4 linked regions of the Neodiprion lecontei genome follow. The protein of the gene in region 3 purifies or fractionates together with the protein of the main gene of each other region. This does not show direct contact. Links are inferred from orthologs where the notes say so. Each region holds a gene or a part of one and is shown on either strand. Other genes may lie near its edges.

What was found.
Region 1: the proteins of DNA-directed RNA polymerases I, II, and III subunit RPABC1 (region 3) and DNA-directed RNA polymerase III subunit RPC2 purify together in Homo sapiens (affinity purification with mass spectrometry; 7 studies listed by BioGRID and IntAct, counting the BioPlex papers as one, with this or other methods). This does not show direct contact. The link is inferred for Neodiprion lecontei from reciprocal best matches to the Homo sapiens genes POLR2E and POLR3B.
Region 2: the proteins of DNA-directed RNA polymerases I, II, and III subunit RPABC1 (region 3) and putative RNA polymerase II subunit B1 CTD phosphatase RPAP2 purify together in Homo sapiens (affinity purification with mass spectrometry; 4 studies listed by BioGRID and IntAct, counting the BioPlex papers as one, with this or other methods). This does not show direct contact. The link is inferred for Neodiprion lecontei from reciprocal best matches to the Homo sapiens genes POLR2E and RPAP2.
Region 4: the proteins of DNA-directed RNA polymerases I, II, and III subunit RPABC1 (region 3) and DNA-directed RNA polymerase III subunit RPC10 purify together in Homo sapiens (affinity purification with mass spectrometry; 5 studies listed by BioGRID and IntAct, counting the BioPlex papers as one, with this or other methods). This does not show direct contact. The link is inferred for Neodiprion lecontei from reciprocal best matches to the Homo sapiens genes POLR2E and POLR3K.

What each region holds. Positions count from the first base shown.
Region 1 is NC_060260.1:21,914,500-21,919,498, reverse strand, and holds the start of DNA-directed RNA polymerase III subunit RPC2, read right to left. Parts: upstream 3,021-4,999; 5' UTR 2,923-3,020; coding exon 2,845-2,922; intron 2,357-2,844; coding exon 2,202-2,356; intron 1-2,201. UniProt on the Homo sapiens protein: Catalytic core component of RNA polymerase III (Pol III), a DNA-dependent RNA polymerase which synthesizes small non-coding RNAs using the four ribonucleoside triphosphates as substrates.
Region 2 is NC_060261.1:547,200-552,295, forward strand, and holds putative RNA polymerase II subunit B1 CTD phosphatase RPAP2, read right to left. Parts: upstream 3,125-5,096; 5' UTR 2,984-3,124; exon of another isoform or gene 2,755-2,983; 5' UTR 2,715-2,754; coding exon 2,659-2,714; intron 2,590-2,658; coding exon 2,463-2,589; intron 2,368-2,462; coding exon 1,396-2,367; intron 1,310-1,395; coding exon 1,143-1,309; intron 1,071-1,142; coding exon 894-1,070; intron 800-893; coding exon 628-799; 3' UTR 516-627; downstream 1-515. Other genes in the region: protein GPR107, read left to right, coding at 3,487-3,576, 3,711-3,821, 4,355-4,494, 4,610-4,755.
Region 3 is NC_060266.1:3,237,320-3,240,468, reverse strand, and holds DNA-directed RNA polymerases I, II, and III subunit RPABC1, read right to left. Parts: upstream 1,573-3,149; 5' UTR 1,415-1,572; coding exon 1,113-1,414; intron 1,020-1,112; coding exon 689-1,019; 3' UTR 565-688; downstream 1-564. Other genes in the region: abscission/NoCut checkpoint regulator, read left to right, coding at 2,083-2,130, 2,364-2,602, 2,709-2,943, 3,042-3,149. UniProt on the Homo sapiens protein: DNA-dependent RNA polymerase catalyzes the transcription of DNA into RNA using the four ribonucleoside triphosphates as substrates.
Region 4 is NC_060260.1:9,405,875-9,408,922, forward strand, and holds DNA-directed RNA polymerase III subunit RPC10, read right to left. Parts: upstream 1,148-3,048; 5' UTR 1,001-1,147; intron 878-1,000; 5' UTR 871-877; coding exon 544-870; downstream 1-543. Other genes in the region: yrdC domain-containing protein, mitochondrial, read right to left, coding at 1-297. UniProt on the Homo sapiens protein: Core component of RNA polymerase III (Pol III) which synthesizes small non-coding RNAs using the four ribonucleoside triphosphates as substrates. Can mediate Pol I proofreading of the nascent RNA transcript.

The sequences.
Region 1 (4,999 bases), on a different chromosome or scaffold from region 3:
TGATGTCAACTTTTTTATATTAAGCACATAAAGATTTCCATCTTATCGGCATTAAAAAAATAACAATTACAATGAAATAACAATTACAACGAGAGAAATGCATTTGAAATTAAATAATAATATAAATTTATGGCACATGTAATACATATAGCCAGAAATCTAGACGTAAAAAAGGTGTTTTTTTTTATATTAGCAAAAAAAAACAACAAACAAATCAGTATTTTTAACTGCTGGCACTTGGGTATTAGCATTGAGGAGTAAAATCTGAGGCCTATGCGACCTAGAAGCGGCTCGGAAAGGACAGAACAATCAAAATTGGCTAAATATTGTTATGCCAATGTACAGTCACAAAATTCTATGATTAAAGCTAATCAACACTTACCTTGTAATTTGCGATTTGTTTCTTTGCTTTTTTTTTGTCATACAATTTCTTTTGTTGACACTCTGTTGTTTGATACTCTTCGATTCACTGTATAGGTCCGGACTGAAATTAAGTAATGCTCTCGAAGCAAACTGCGATGTGGCACCGTGCCGTATGCCGAGTGAGTTTATGCATGTTCATTCTCGCTCGAGTGTTGTCGATTGACAATCATACAATGTATGAAATGTACCAAGATATAATATTTCTTGACCAAAAATATTCGCTTGATAAAATTCTAATATACCTTCACATAAATACTTTTTCTCATATTTATGTTCATTCCGTACACTGCATGTAGATTGCCATTGAGTTAATATATTAGGTGTATAAATTAATTCTCGGCCTTTTTTCAACAATTTTGACATTTATTTATAAAAAAATGAATACAGATCTAATCTTCAAAATAATCGCCGTCACTTTGCACGCATTTTTTCCATTTATCGGGCAATTGTCGGATCCCGGCTCGAAAGAAAGATGGTGGTTTTGACTGGATGAAGTCGTCAATGCTCTGACGGACTTCCTCAGGAGATTGAAACTGGGTATCCACCAGGTGATGTTGTAGCGCCCGAAAAAGGTAATAGTCAGAAGGTGCAAGGTCTGGAGAATACGCCGCATGAGGGAGAATTTCCCAGCCCAACGTGAAGGTAACTTTCAGGGTTTCTTTTGCTGTGTATGGCCGCACGTTGTCCTGCAGCAAAATCACTTGCCTTGGTCCACTACCGCTGAAGGGTTTTTTTTCCTCGATAGCATCGCTCAATTTCATCAGTTGCACCTGATAACGCTTAGCAGTAATGGTTTCCCCTGGTTTGATTGTCTCATAATACATTACACCTTTGAAATCCCACCAATTACACAACAACAATTTTGGCCCGTGGATGTTTGGTTTTGCAGTGCTCGTTGTCGGCTCCCCCGAATAAACCCACGACTTTCGTCTCTTAGGATTATCGTACAATATCCACTTTTCATCCCCAGCCACAATTTTATGTAAAAAGTCTTTTTGTTTGAATCTGGTCAGCAGGCTCATTGGAATTTCACAGCGTCGACTTTTGTTTGCTGGGGTAAGATCATGGGGCACCCAACGCTCTTCCTTTTGTATCCTCTCGAGTTTTCGAGCAAGCTCCATTTGCGTTTGGTAAGGATTTTCGTTGAGTAGGTTCTCCAACTCCTCGTCCTCAACCTTTTATGGCTTTTCAGGATGATCTTCATCTTGGAGATCAAAATTTCCATCCCGAAACTTTGAAACCATGTTTTACATGTGCTATAAGATACAGCACTCTCTCCCAAGGCCGAACAAATCATTTCTTGTGATTTCTTGTAAGTTGGAAGACGAAAAGAAGGCAGTGCCTCAAGTGCTGCTTGTCGAACGACATCTTTGTTTACTATGTTTTTTGAGGTTAGATTAATCGGACCACAATCGGACTAAGTGGTTTGATAGCTCATAGATGGCGCCTCAAAACGCCCTATATAACGGAAAAATTTTTCGATTCAAATAGGTGTAAAATCAATTTAATCTAGGGGCCGAGAATTAATTTATACACCTAGTATAATATTTCGTATATATGATTTTCATGTGAAATGACTCGAGTAAGCACTTTCATTATTAGACCTAAGTCAAAATTTTATGCATGTTCAATTTGATGAAAAAATTCCATATTGCTATTTGAAATTCCCATATATTTCTCACATTTTCAAGGGCATTTTCAAATTCCCGGTTTTCCAGGAAGTCGGCGTCGCTAGACATCCTGTATTATACACGATTTTGATAAGTCATACTACTTACTTGACGTAGAACAAGGAATCAGCATCACTTAATACTTTCTCATTTGCCTTGACGATTTTTTTTATCTCAACATTAATGAAATAATTGAACGAATCAATGTGTTGCTTAACGAGGCCTTTGCCTTTGAGGAATGCAGGGACGAGCTTCCACTTATCCTACAACATCAAACAAGTTATATTGACATAATAAGTAACAGGCAAAGTCTGGCTTTTTAAGGATTGCACTAGAGTTCTAAGTGATGAATAACTGATTTCTTGGTTAAGGATTTTCATTTCTTGCGACTAGTGCGAATTTCACCCCATATTTTCCTAAGCAGATACATTCAAGATTTATAAAAACTTTCAATTTTTTTGGCACATATTTGAAAATGTTTAATATAAAGTTCTAGAAATATGGTAAATTTGTTGAAATTTCAGAACAAAATATACATAATCGAGTCATTAATAACAGTGTTTGACCGTAAGTTGCCTCTGCCTGGAATTCGGAGATTGTTGAGTAATAAAATCTTGAAAATAACCCGATTAAAATCGTTTATTTATACCCGCCCGGTATGCGTAGTGCATTTGTAGTTTTGCATTATTAGGCGAGGTAGGATTACATCAAATCAAGTTATAACCTACAAATATTTGAGATGGTACTTTACCTCGATATGTTTGGCTACTTTTCTGAATTTTTCAGCTCTTTTGAGACTGTTGTAATCATTCGATTTCATTTCACCCATTTTATCGCTGTTCTATCGTTATAATTTTACGTGTTAATATAAAGACATCGCAAACCAAAGCACAACCGAAAATTGGACACAATCTACCAAGGACCACGCTTTGGCCATACTAACGACAACCGTTCATTACCCGGCCGCCCGGCCCCAGAAGTGTATGGACGGTAGAGATAAGGAGAACCGTCTCTGTGTACGAAAAAGCTTGCGTCGAAAGATGTCAACTGAAGATGGCGTTACGGTAGCAGAAGGGTATATTTTGAAGAAAGCAACAAAAGATATTTGAGTTGGATAGAGAAGTAAACAAGGAAAGAAAGATTTCCGCTTTGTTATGGTACATTTTTCAAAATAAACATTAATAAAGAAAGCAACATTTTTAAGCGCTCAATGATTCGATAAATATTAAATGGAAGATGATATTGAAATGGAGAAACGTTGACATAAATTTTGTTTTTTGATAAACTAATTTCCAAAAATAAAAGAAGTTCATGTGCAAAATTTGAGAGAACTACATGTGCAAATTTTACATACTATTGGTCGGAAAAAAGACAGAGACTGAGGCGCATCATTCTTTTTATTTTTCATTTTTCGTGCACTTGGACAACTTTTCACTATGCAAACTTTACCTATTATTGACCAAACTTTAAAAAATTTTATAACAGTACACACTACAAAATCACTAAAAAGTATGATCAACAATTCACAAAAATTAAATCACTCTCCACGTTATCTCACAGCAGTTTTATGGGTTATATTCACTAAATTATTTTGGGCTACGTAAATAGTTGAGGTTTTGTATACTGTGATTTCATTAACTACATTAGTCACCAAAAATATTGAATTGTTCAACTCAGCTCACTTCACTCCGATTACAACTGCTAAATTCATGTCATATCCTTTAGCTGCGCTAGCGCTATTTTGGTGGGTTCTTGAACTGTTACTTGCAGCTTACAGCTGGACACTTTTTCAACTTGTCTCCCACATAAGTCGATTCTCCTTACTTCTACCCTCCAGACCTAGAAGAGATGCAAATAGAAGCGTCATTGACCACCGAACTCTAATATAACTGGAAGGCTCGCTGCAATGGTAAGGGATAGGACTGGCTTTCAGCCGAGTGAGAGGTATCAAATAAGACCACTCTCTCACTCGCTCCGTGTACAGCATTCCAAAAAAAAGCTTGTCCTCTTATTTTCACAACCTACATACACATTCTATTTGAATCTCTTTACGAATTCTTGCATTATCTTATGTTTGGGAAAAGTTTACCAATTTTTTTTTACATAAGATATTGATATATTGGATAGAGATTTCGTAATAATTAAATTAGGAAAAATTAAAGCAGGGACTGGTTTCTTTCAAAATACTTACAGACTTCCTCAAGTCGAAATACTTGCACAAAGAATGTAACATTACCACCAGGTATAAAGAATTGATTACATTTAGTCACACAGCAACCTCGCACCAGTTTTTAACATAATAATTTTTCAAACTTAACAATAAAATAAAATCCTTGGTTGTTCACAATGACATAATAGAGTTCAGTATGGTTTAGTAGGACTAGGATATCGCGGTGGTGTGACGTCGGAAAGGTACCTAGTGGAAATCTCCAGATGTAAGACACCGGAAACATTCACACACAGCTACAGCTAGACTCACATCAGTAGTTTGGGTCACCAATTACCGATTAATTATTGAAATACACCGGGCAACGGGCATTCTGTCGCTCTAATCGAACGAACCGAAGGAGGAGTAATTGTTGGATAAAAGATTTAATTAATTGGCTTACCTTTTTGAGAATATTCTGGATGTGATGACTTGCAGCGTAGATTGGTGAGAGGATTTAGCGGAATAACTGACTCTAATGTATTTGGATACTTTGATTAACTTTGATTTATTTTATAAGTTCAATATTTAAAGTCACAAAAACGGAGTTACACAGTGTAAGATCTTAAACTTAATATGACACAATGGAGCTGAAAGCTCGCTGGACTTTTGGGCAGAGTAACGTTGTATGAAAAGTTTAAATGCAAAAGGCCAACGGATTTTACCGCGAGACTGTACCGGAACAAGATGACGAATCTGA
Region 2 (5,096 bases), on a different chromosome or scaffold from region 3:
GAACCTATCTCGTATCAGGGGCATCATCGGAAGAGGCTTTTACATTGGATGTAAGGACTCTGAGCTCTCTCCCTTCTCTCAAACTCTACTTTGTACCGACTAGTAGCGACTACTCTCATTAACCAACCAGGAACAAGTCTTTGCATTAGATGGTTCTCTCTCTCTAAAAAAAAAAAAAAAAAAAAACTCCGTATATGTAAACTGAGTGGAATAACTGTTGCTAAACAGCTGGAGAGACTTTACATTTATGATTACGCTCTCCATGGGCCATAGAGTTATACCATGGGTACTATAGAAGCTTGTAGCCATTCCTTGGTAAAGTGAAAACGTTACAGCTGGGAGGGATGTCCCGCATCGAACGAGGTTTCATTATCTCTTTCACAGTCATCTTCATCACCAAACTAGCTTCTCCTTGTCCTCACTTTCACAGCATGCCACTTCTCTTCTCTTTTTACTTAAGGTGTTGCGAATTTCCGTGAAATACGGGTTACGTATTGTGAAACACGTGACAAAAATTCACTTTTATTATTTTATTTCGCATGCACGCTTGCGTGGTATCACAGAAACCAGAATCATACATTTTATATCTCTGAAGATCTGTCAGCGTCAGGAGAAATCGAATTATCGTTATTTTTTTGGAAAATTCTTATTGCTAACTAACTGGATGTCTGTTGCCACCGCTACCAGCGTGTCCAAGTCACTAGGCTCCAAATTATAAGACATTAGAATCATAGTTATATACTTTGACGCTCGGTCTGTACCCAATAGAAACCTCAACCTGGGCTCGGAGGTGCTCAACCTGCGATAAATTTAAAGACAAATGCACTGTCTTCTAACAAATTTAATATATGAAATGATAAATACGATTACTCAATAGTTCATCTGCTACTCACAGTCTTATAAAAATAAGGCCAAGAAGGTTCCATTCCGCAGGCTTAGGGATAACATTGCTAGCCGATAACGAAAAGGTGTTTACAAGAGCTTTCACCGTTTTTCCACACCCGTTAGTGCTGATACATCCATCAACAGCAAACTCGCCTCCAGCCAAGGTACGCACCATTTCTGGCAACCTAAAATATTATACAAGCGTTAATGCGAGCTTTAATTTGGAATATCTAATCTCAATGCAGAACCATCATTACACTTTATCAAGTTTCTCCAAAATTATACGTCTCCTGAGTGTTCTAGGCTCACGCTCTCCAAGCATTGGCATGAATGTACTGGAATCATCTTCCTCATTAGCAACTGCGTTACCTGATGGTGGTTTTGTTGCATCTATCAAAGTTTGGCCTTGGTAAAATGCTCGTACCTACGAGAAATAGACTACTAGTAAATTTGAATTGGATAAAGACAATTTGTTGCTGACAAATGACAGTACATCCAATCCTATTATACCTTGACCTCTATTTGGGCACTTGCTTCTTTCAGCACACTGTAATCTGGTAGAGGTTTTAAATCGCGTTTACTATCTTCCTCGTCAGTGTCTTCATCTACTTGGCATGAATCGATTTTTTGGCATAGTTCAACATATTTCTTTTGGAATTTACTGTCCTTTGTATGTTTCGTAATTTCATCTATTTTTTGCTGCTTCAACCACACATCTCCCGACAACAGAGCCAAGGAATCCAAAGTAAGCCACTCTTGTAAATAATGTTTGATACGTTCAACAAACCAGCTTGAATCCACCTTACTTTTCCTGACATCTTGTTTGCCATGTACTTTGCGCGTTTTATCTTCTTTTGCATTTACTTTGGAAATATTGTTTATGCTTGATCGAACATCTTGTTCAACCGCCAAAGTATCACATTTATTACTTTGGCGTGCAACTGGTTCTGCGGGTTTGTGAAGATTGGCTATTTCTTTAGCACTTACATCCCCTTCAACGATTTCGGTGCCTGATTTATTTATGGAATTATCAGGTACATTATTTATAGTATTTTCAATCGCATTATTACTCTCTGTTGATGGTAATTTGTCAGACACAATAGCTTTATCAGTTTTTTGTATTTCGCATGAATCAACAGAGACGTTTTCTCGTCCCAGGTAAACTTCATCGCCTGGAGTACTTTTTTTAATTAATCCAGTGGGAGGTAGCAGCTGGAAGCAAGGCTTTTCTTTCGGATTTCTCAGCCACAGTGGGCTAGTGAGCATTTGTTCAAGAATGTAATTTGTTGCTCCATAACAGTTATTGCTGCAGAAATTTTTTCTGCGACTTACATCATAAACCTTATTATTGCGAGTCGATATGTGATATTTTTGATTTATATTCAATTTCAATGGATTGTCGCACAGAGCATAACCACACCGTCTCAATATAGCTCTTTCTTCAACTACGTCGTCCATGTGACATCGATTGATATGCTCCAGCTGTAGAAGAAAATATTTCATAGTTTAAACGGTGTATACAATACAAATTAACAACGAAAATGGTATTTCATTAATATTGCCGAATCTTGAGCAACCATTCGTCTAACATTTTCCAAAAGCCAAGTTTGGTCGACTGCATCATCTATCAACCGTTCTACAATTGCTAAAGCTCTCGCATCACACTGCCGTTTCTTAGTCAGAGCCAGCTGCAGTTGTTCCTTGCTGGAAATAAAACGAAACGTAAATGTTTTACTTACTACCCAGTAAACTTGCAAAATATCAATTTCCTACCTCATTTTCATTTTTGTTCTGCTCCCATCGTTACGTTTCCTCGACGTTGATGTCATCGTTGTGTTTCAATGTTTCAATGATTTATACCTGTAATATCTGGGACAACAAGGGCGAATTAGCGTGAAAAAGAATTATATTTAGGTTACGCTAGGTGAGATTAGGGTCGGTTTTATCGATGACAAGGTTGTACATGCAATTATAGTTTGATAAGATTCCACCAACAGCCTGACAATTGATTCAGGAATATTTGCGATACATTATTAACAGATACTACATTTGGATGCTACAGAGAAATCTCGAGGAAATTTGAATCGCTCCTTCTAACCTGTCAAACTGACAGCTCGGTTCTTGGTATAAGACAACCATACAAGTTGTTAAAAATGAGTGTGGTGCACACGGAGCATTAAAGGTGGTGGTGCAGTCATGGAGTCTAGATACAAGGAGAACGATCTTAACGTATAGAAGAAACGGCCGAAAATGTGGAGAAATAATTTCTGCACTGGAGGCGCTGCCGTTGATAATATCAGGTTTATTTTTTTAAATTTAATAAGAGAATGCCGTGATCACGTGATTCAAGGAGCAAAATAAACAAAAAAATAAAAAAATAAATAAATAAACAAATCAAACACACTGACGCCACCCATGTCGAGCGAGTGTAACTAGAAGTTCCATCCGCATTCGGCATCTTATACCATTTTCCAAATCCCTGCCGAACCAGCTTCTGCTGCTTCTGCTCGCCGTGCGAACTTGCGGGGCGAGGTGTTTCGTGTGTCAAGTGGCAATGTTCCCCGATACGTGAAGTAACGTTACAATATAAATATTTGAAAAATGTATTCAAAATCCGTGATTGTTTCGTGCATAGTTGTGCTCACCTTAGCTTCGCTAACTCAGGCGAGGATTCACAAGCTTGAGATAAGGGTGCGTTGACGAATTATATTTTTTTTCAGGAATCTTTATACGCGTACTAGACACGCGCGTGTGTTGTACGTACAGTAGTACCGTCTCATCGGTGAAACATTCCAAAGGAAAATAATCAATTTCCTTTATTGCAGAACGACGTCAGAGCTTACATCGCTCTCAGCACATTCGGATTTTACGAAGGAGGCACTTTGCGCGTAAACTTGACTAATTTTAAGGTGGAACAGGGCGCCGAGGATGCAGTGGTAGGTTTGACGTTTAACCCTCGATTTACCTGGCATACGTACACCTGGTGTACGTATACACATACATACGTACATTCACCCAGCAATATTCATTCCATCACCGACGCTTCACCTTTTCCGTATAACTGTATGGTGAGATGAGCTGTCGTTAACATTCAGAGGAAAATGAGTATTTTTTTATACTTTGACATATACTAGTAAATCGTTTCTTCTTCCCAACTTTTATCGAACCTGTTCCATCAGGTTGCAATATCACGTAGATGTGAACGCAGGAAACTTATCATTTATTCCCAACATTGATAATGTTTTTACATCTTATGAATTTGGTATCTAATGTGGGAGATGTAAGGTTTTTCCAAGATTATACGCTTTGCATTCCGACAAATGTGATTGCACAAGCATGTTTGCTTGTAACATTATGAATACGAGTATTGTACTCAGTGCCCGATCATCTGATAAATTGTATTACGTGCCTATTTATTACAGGACAATACTAAATGCAACTGCCATTTATAACACTATAACTATTTCAGTTCGGATTCAGCTTGGAACGAACTCTCAGCGATGTTAGTAATTCGTACACAGAAAATCAACGAGAAAAATGTCCATTACTAGATGAAACAGCCCAGCTGAATGAGGCTGTTTATTTTAAAATGGATTTGAGGCATTCAATGTAAGTATAATTAACAAGGAAGGAAAAATATACAGTGCAGTCCAAACTTCGTTAAATCAGTATTAACGTGGGAAATTCATAGTTTTAATTTTTGCTCCATAACAAATATTTACAGAATGAACGTAACCTGCAAGAAAGACTTGAATCTGATATCCATTCACCCGAGTGAAGATGTGGTACAGGTTCGATTAAAGAGAAACGCAGAACGATTACAGGATACGGCCTCTTCTCCAAGAATAGACCATGCCATGTCAGATTTTGGTAAGTCTCATTTCAATTGTTCATGTAATGTGGTTCGTGTCGCAGATGTGGACGTTTTTACTTTATTCCACAAGTTCTGTGATATTGGATTAGAGTAACAACTAACATCTTGTATCATCGAAAGCATTTTCAGTAGTGATGAAATATAATTGAAAAAAAGAGAGAACTTTTAAGTATTACTACAACACTACTGGCAGAAGTGCCACCAATGATTTATTCCTCAAGAATTTGTAGCTAAAATTAAATTACATATGAGTATGGTAGTAGCTGCGTGAGCCTACAGGTGAAAAAGTCATACCGGACACAAAACTGATACATTCGACCATGTACACTACGAATTG
Region 3 (3,149 bases):
AGCATCATTGCGCAATCATCAGTTATGATTGAAAATTGTAATGAAAAATTGATGCGTCTCGTAATAGCATCGTCTTTGATCGATTACTTTCTTATTTCTGAGATAAACAAACTGCGTTTCGAGGTTAGAATTGTTTATTGAATGACAACTTCGGTTTGAAAATCAGTTTTTGACCTACTGCGTATTGTTTCTTCACAATTCTGGGTACAGTACGAATGTAAAATGTTTGTTTCATTTACTCTTTGTTAAATGTCAATATTTTTCGACTCTTAAATCTATCGAGTTTAATATTTAGGTAACCGTATTTGAGGTTAAGTTGAGATGAAGCTGTTCAGTACCTAAAGTCCGTATTTTAACTAAGCGACATGGATATTGAGTCCTGCTATTGGCTCAATTTTTACGATATGGCACGATGGGAGTGGTTGCTGATTTTGAGCCAATGATGTCGCTCCAATTTGCATGTAGCTGCAGTGAAAAGAAACCCTAATGTTTCATGGAAATATAATACATGAAATCCTAATTTTCTCAACTAAAGTAGAATAATTCACAAAAACAAATTAAGCATTTTCGTTTCATAGAAATTTTTATTCGGATAAGAATATTTGTTTTCTTAACATTAACTTGAACATGATAAAACTTAAAATATCGTGTAGGGGAAGTATAGAATAAAATTGTGGATTTTCTTCCGTCAACAGACAAGCCTGTAGGATATATATCGCCCGGCAGTTTCAGATGGTCTGATAATTTTGACGACCTGTCCACGCTTTAGGCCAAAGTAACGGGCAACTGGGTCGCCGGCTTGTATGCGCATGAGCATATTCTCCTTGAGCTTGTATCTTGAGAGCAATTCTTGCTTTTCTTCAGGTGTCATAACAACATGCTCGGGAACCAGTTCGTGCTCAGTTATGTTTATCAGTAATTCAGACTCCAGAAATTGTTCTAGTATGTACTTTGGTGCCATGTCGACTAGCGACTGTTTAGCTGAAGGTGTCATTCCCTGCTGAACGACGATAGTTGCTCTGAAAGACATGAAGATGACATGCAATTAAATGATACAAAGCAGGCCATAAGATACATATGCTTTTTGTTCCATCAATCCGTATTCCCATTACCTGTGAATTTTTTCTTCTTGCATGCGCTGGCAGTATGTCTTGATTGTTTTTATGCCGATCTTGGGTTCGTCTGGAAAGAACACGAACAGCTGATCGGTCGGATCGTCGTTGTGGGCGACAAGTACGATAAGATCACTTCTTGCAGGTCTTTTCTCACTTGGTTTGTCCCCGAACTGTTCTTTGAATTGTTCCAGGGTCTGATCGAGCTCGTCCTGCGTTACGAGATAACCTCTGTCGTGGCATAATTGCATCACGGTCTTTCTTATCCTCCACAATTTGTACGTCTCAGCCTCGTCGTCCATTGAAAATTAATTTCTGCTTAGATTGGTACTTTGAACGATGATTTTCTGCCTATTTTTATCAATCTTCTGCAGTATTAGTCGCGTTTTTGTGGTTAATCAAACGTCAAACAGTCCTTGGTGCACTGAACGCGTGGTTCGTGATTCGAGAAATGCGATATATCGATGTTCACTTCTCGCAGAAATGTGCCAACGGTCTATATCGATAACCACAACTATCGATCAATTTTGAATTGCCGTATTTTGCATCGATGAACGTTTTAAGTAATGAAAAATAAGCGAAAATAAGGAATTAAAATCAATCGAACAAAGCACCGTATTATTACACGACTTATACATCGCAGGGTTATAATAATTCACTCTGAAATTCAGTAGTCAATTAGCGGTGTGGATTGTAAGAACGTTCCATTTTTTGAATTTAATTTGAATCCTGTCGATATACTATCGATAATCGGATATGCGTCGAAACTCGAAAGCGCTGCAGAGTTGTCCGTTAGCTGCAAGATGGACGATGATCTTCGAGAGAGATCACAAATGATGAGAATTTGCGCATTGAGGTGCGGCAACGGGAAATAATTTTAAACGGTATCTGGGCACACCAGTTTTTCACATTTGACTCAAGTTTTCGAGTCTTCTGCTCACGTTCAACTGGCACGAAGAGGATTGATGAAATGTCATGCAACGCGTGTCAAACAAAATTCACCTTCTTTACTCGAGAGGTAATTATAAAAATTCGTACTATCAATTCCACTCTTGCATATCGACCGAGTGATTCATACTTTGATTATACAATTACGCAATATTTGTTTAGAGTTATTTCGTTCTCTTCTTTTTTTACCCCCAAATTCCTTATTCTATTGTTATTGTTTATTAGCATGCACAGCAACAAGTTAGAAAAATTTGACACAAAATTTGCCATATTCATATCAATACTTTTCAATGTTTCTTCCAGCACGGTTGTCCAAGTTGCCATTTTTCCTATTGCGCCAAGTGTCTCAGGTACAAATTTGACCTGCCAGATATTGGCAGCACAAAAATATGCGGCAAGTGCTATTATCGGTTGAAAGACGGGGTGGAGAACAAGGCAGAGGAGAAGGTTCAGTCTGAAAATTTAAAACCTCAACTCTCAACACCGTCTGAGGGACAACCGTTGTCCGTCGAACAAGTTGCTCCAATAGATATTACTCAGAAGTACGCAAGTGGAGATGAAGAGATGGAATAACTTATTTCAGTGTCATTTGTTCAATTACTACATCTTCAATGATAAACATTCATTAATCTTTCCAAAACTGCACAGATTAAATTCGCTTGAAAATCCGTCCAAACCACCGATTGTTTTGTACAAAAAGGAGATTGGACGATGGGATCGCCTGAAGTCTGGACTAGATCCAGCGGATCAGAATATGGTTGATCGACTTAGGAAATTGAAAGATGAGGACAAACCTGTGCCTCAAACTAGCTTGGAGGAGATTAGAAGAAGGCTTGCTCTGCTCAAGGATCAAGACCCTAATAATCCTGTTCCTCAAACTAATGTGAGCTGAAATTAAATACATTGCAATTGTATATTTGTATGCTAGTTCAACTAGCTCATTGACTTTTGTTGCTCCCAAATTTGCCACTTCTCTTCAAGATCCATTCAGTGGATACGAGGTCGGATGAACAAAAGACTGCAGATTTGATAAATGAGTATTTGGAGGAACTTAAGCTGTCTTCGGATGTAAATTCGGATGCACAGATC
Region 4 (3,048 bases), on a different chromosome or scaffold from region 3:
AATTTCACCGACACAAATTGCCAGCGGTTTACAAGGATCTCGTTGCTTAATTTCATACAACTTTTTAACAGATTCATTACTTTGAGCCAATCCTGCCAAGCCATAGACGGTATCCGTGGGCAACGCTATGACGTGTTTATCTTGAAGCAAGCGAACGGCCATAGCCACATTCTTTGATCCATAAGCAAACCCGATACCTGAAATACCGGGGTGTAGATTTTTTAGCTGCGTCTCGAGCGACCTCAATGTTTGTTTCACTGGACCCATGGTTTTTTTCCTTACTTCATCAGAACTCATCGTTGGTCTGCTGCGAAATAATTTCAACATTCTTCTTGATTATGACAGTAAATTGATCGACGAGTCCTGAAAATTTTCAGTCTTATCTCTACGTGAATAGTTGTATAAGAATCTCTGGTAAAATAACCATTAAAATGTTCTGTACTCAAATTCTCATTAAAATAATGATGTACACAGATTTGAATTGTAGAAGTGATTGCTCAATATTTATCGCCTCCAAAAACCAATGAAATTAAAGACGTACAATTAATCTCGCCAATTGTGACTACACTGTGGATTGCAGCATCTGTAAAATGTGGTCATTGGCTCGTCGGCAGATCTTGTCTGTATCTGCATGAAGTAGGCCCGAGAATGCGAGCATTTAGGGCAGCGTTCATCTGTCGCATCGACGTTTTCCCACGCAGCGCTGCCACCTAAAACGTCGTCTACTTCCTTGAGCTTTGGATAAGTCCGACTTGTTATTCTTTGCGATATATTAAAAATGTAAGGGCAGGTATTGCACGCAAATCGGTAATTCGCCACTCCCGATTCGACATGTAAAATATTTCCACAGGTTGGACAAAATAACAGCATATCACATCTGAAAAATGGGAATTTAGGAAATAAGAAGTTCGCATACAGGGAGGTTAGGACTGTAGAAATTCGATGAATTATTTGTCCACAAAGGCAAAATGATGTAACAATGAATTATGTTTAAACTTACCTATTTAAATTGTATACCACACGCGAAATTATTCACTTTTTTTGCATGTTATTACTGGATTACTAACAGACACGTGATAAACGACAGAACGAAAATTCTTTGAGTGATGCGACGATGCGACGGCGCCGTGTGTATAATGGACGTGGGGGAAATCCACGAGGTGATCGACTTAACTCGTCTTCAAGACCGTCAGGAATCAAGTCCACGCGCAAAAGGCGCGGTTAAATTCGAAAGTTATTAGGTAACATAAAATATTGGCTATCAAGATGAAAAACAATTTTCATGGATATGTGCGCTGTCAGAATACGTGAAAAACGACGCACAAAGGGCGCGATTTGTGTACATAATAATTGAGAATGGTTATTTGTGTAGCTGTGAAATAAATCACTCGAAACAATGCCATCATTGTTCAAACTTATATTTCACGGATTCTTGACAGTATCATGTACGAAAATGTTTGAGGGGTCCTCCAATAATACGTAACGCTCGAATGGAGGCTGGATCCTCAAAAATAACGTCATGCAATATTAGAATGGCCTATCAGTAAGCCTAATTCGTCAAAGCCATATCAACCATTCAAATGTCCAAGAGATCAAGTAAAAACTTATTATGGCAAAATATACATTGATGGGATTAAAAAAATCTTAGAAATAGTGAACTTTCAAATAAGTTTCTCTCGAATAATTTTTTATCGTGACAGACAATTTACAGACAACTTGTATGCATGTTATTTACGAATTAGACAACCTGTCGGACATTCGTAAAATTATAGTTGGCATACAGTCAACGGCTATCAACTTCAAATGTGCATGTTTTGTCTCTGTTAAGGGGAGAATACGGTGAAATTTTGATAATATCAAGTTTTTGATTTTTGAAACAGATAAACAAAAGGTGATCGAAAATTCCTTCCAGCAGAATTTAGATTATGGTAGTATGTGTCCAGAGAAAAATTTTTAATCACCTGCGATGAAAGTGTATGCGCAAGGAACTTTTGGGAGTGTTACGCTGGAAATTTTCTGCCAAAAGTTCCTTGCACATAGACTTTCATCGCAGGAGATTAAAAAATTTTTTCTGCACACATGCTACCGTAATCTAAATTTTGTTAGGTGGAATTTTCGATCACATTTTTTTGAGCTGTTTTAAAAATCTAAAACACCATATTATCAAAATTTTACCACAGTCCCCCCTTAAATTAGTGGACTTGGTTTTTGACCAGCGATTACTCAAATACAAGTCGCCTATGCTCTACTCGAGTAATCATATTTATCGTGTTCTTCAGGTTTTTATTTCAGGTCAAACCTTGAACAAAGATGATTATACTTACTGATTGAATACCAAGATTCGCGTAGTCAAGTACCGAATTTGCATTGGCTTTCAAATCGCAGATGTGAATTAAATACACTGTGGTTCAAATGAATAAGCTTCATCCGTGGTTCAAAAATAACGTGTAAATTCATACACCTACTACAGAATGACCTGACGCGATTCTACTTGAGAGATGTACATATATACATACATGCATGCATACACACATACATACATACGTACGTACATACATACGTACATACATCCATAAACAAGTGCGAGACTTACCCATTGCCAATCGCCTACACCATGTCAGCCCTCATTGCTCAACTCCACATTTACGACCATACCAGGTTTTCCAGAGATTCGAATCCACAGTTAATTCTCGCAGTTTTTTCACTTTCACTATTTCACTGTTTATAACGTGTCAGAGGCTTGATTGCAATTGTTTCGAACGCTTCAACAAGTCTGGTTTACTATCACTTACACGTTAGATTGCGAAAAACGTAACAGCAAATTCGAACAGTCGCACGAATAAATTTGTGAAAAAAAAGTTGACACTGAATATAGTCACGAACCGATTACACGGAGCACGAAACGAATGAAATGATATTATACTATTGAAAACCAATTTCAGCTCGTAAGATTAGATCACTGCACTGCGTTGATTCTAACGGCTTAACTTATTTTCGATCGTGAGTATGAAAAAATAAAACAAGCAACGACTACCAAACAACGCAGTC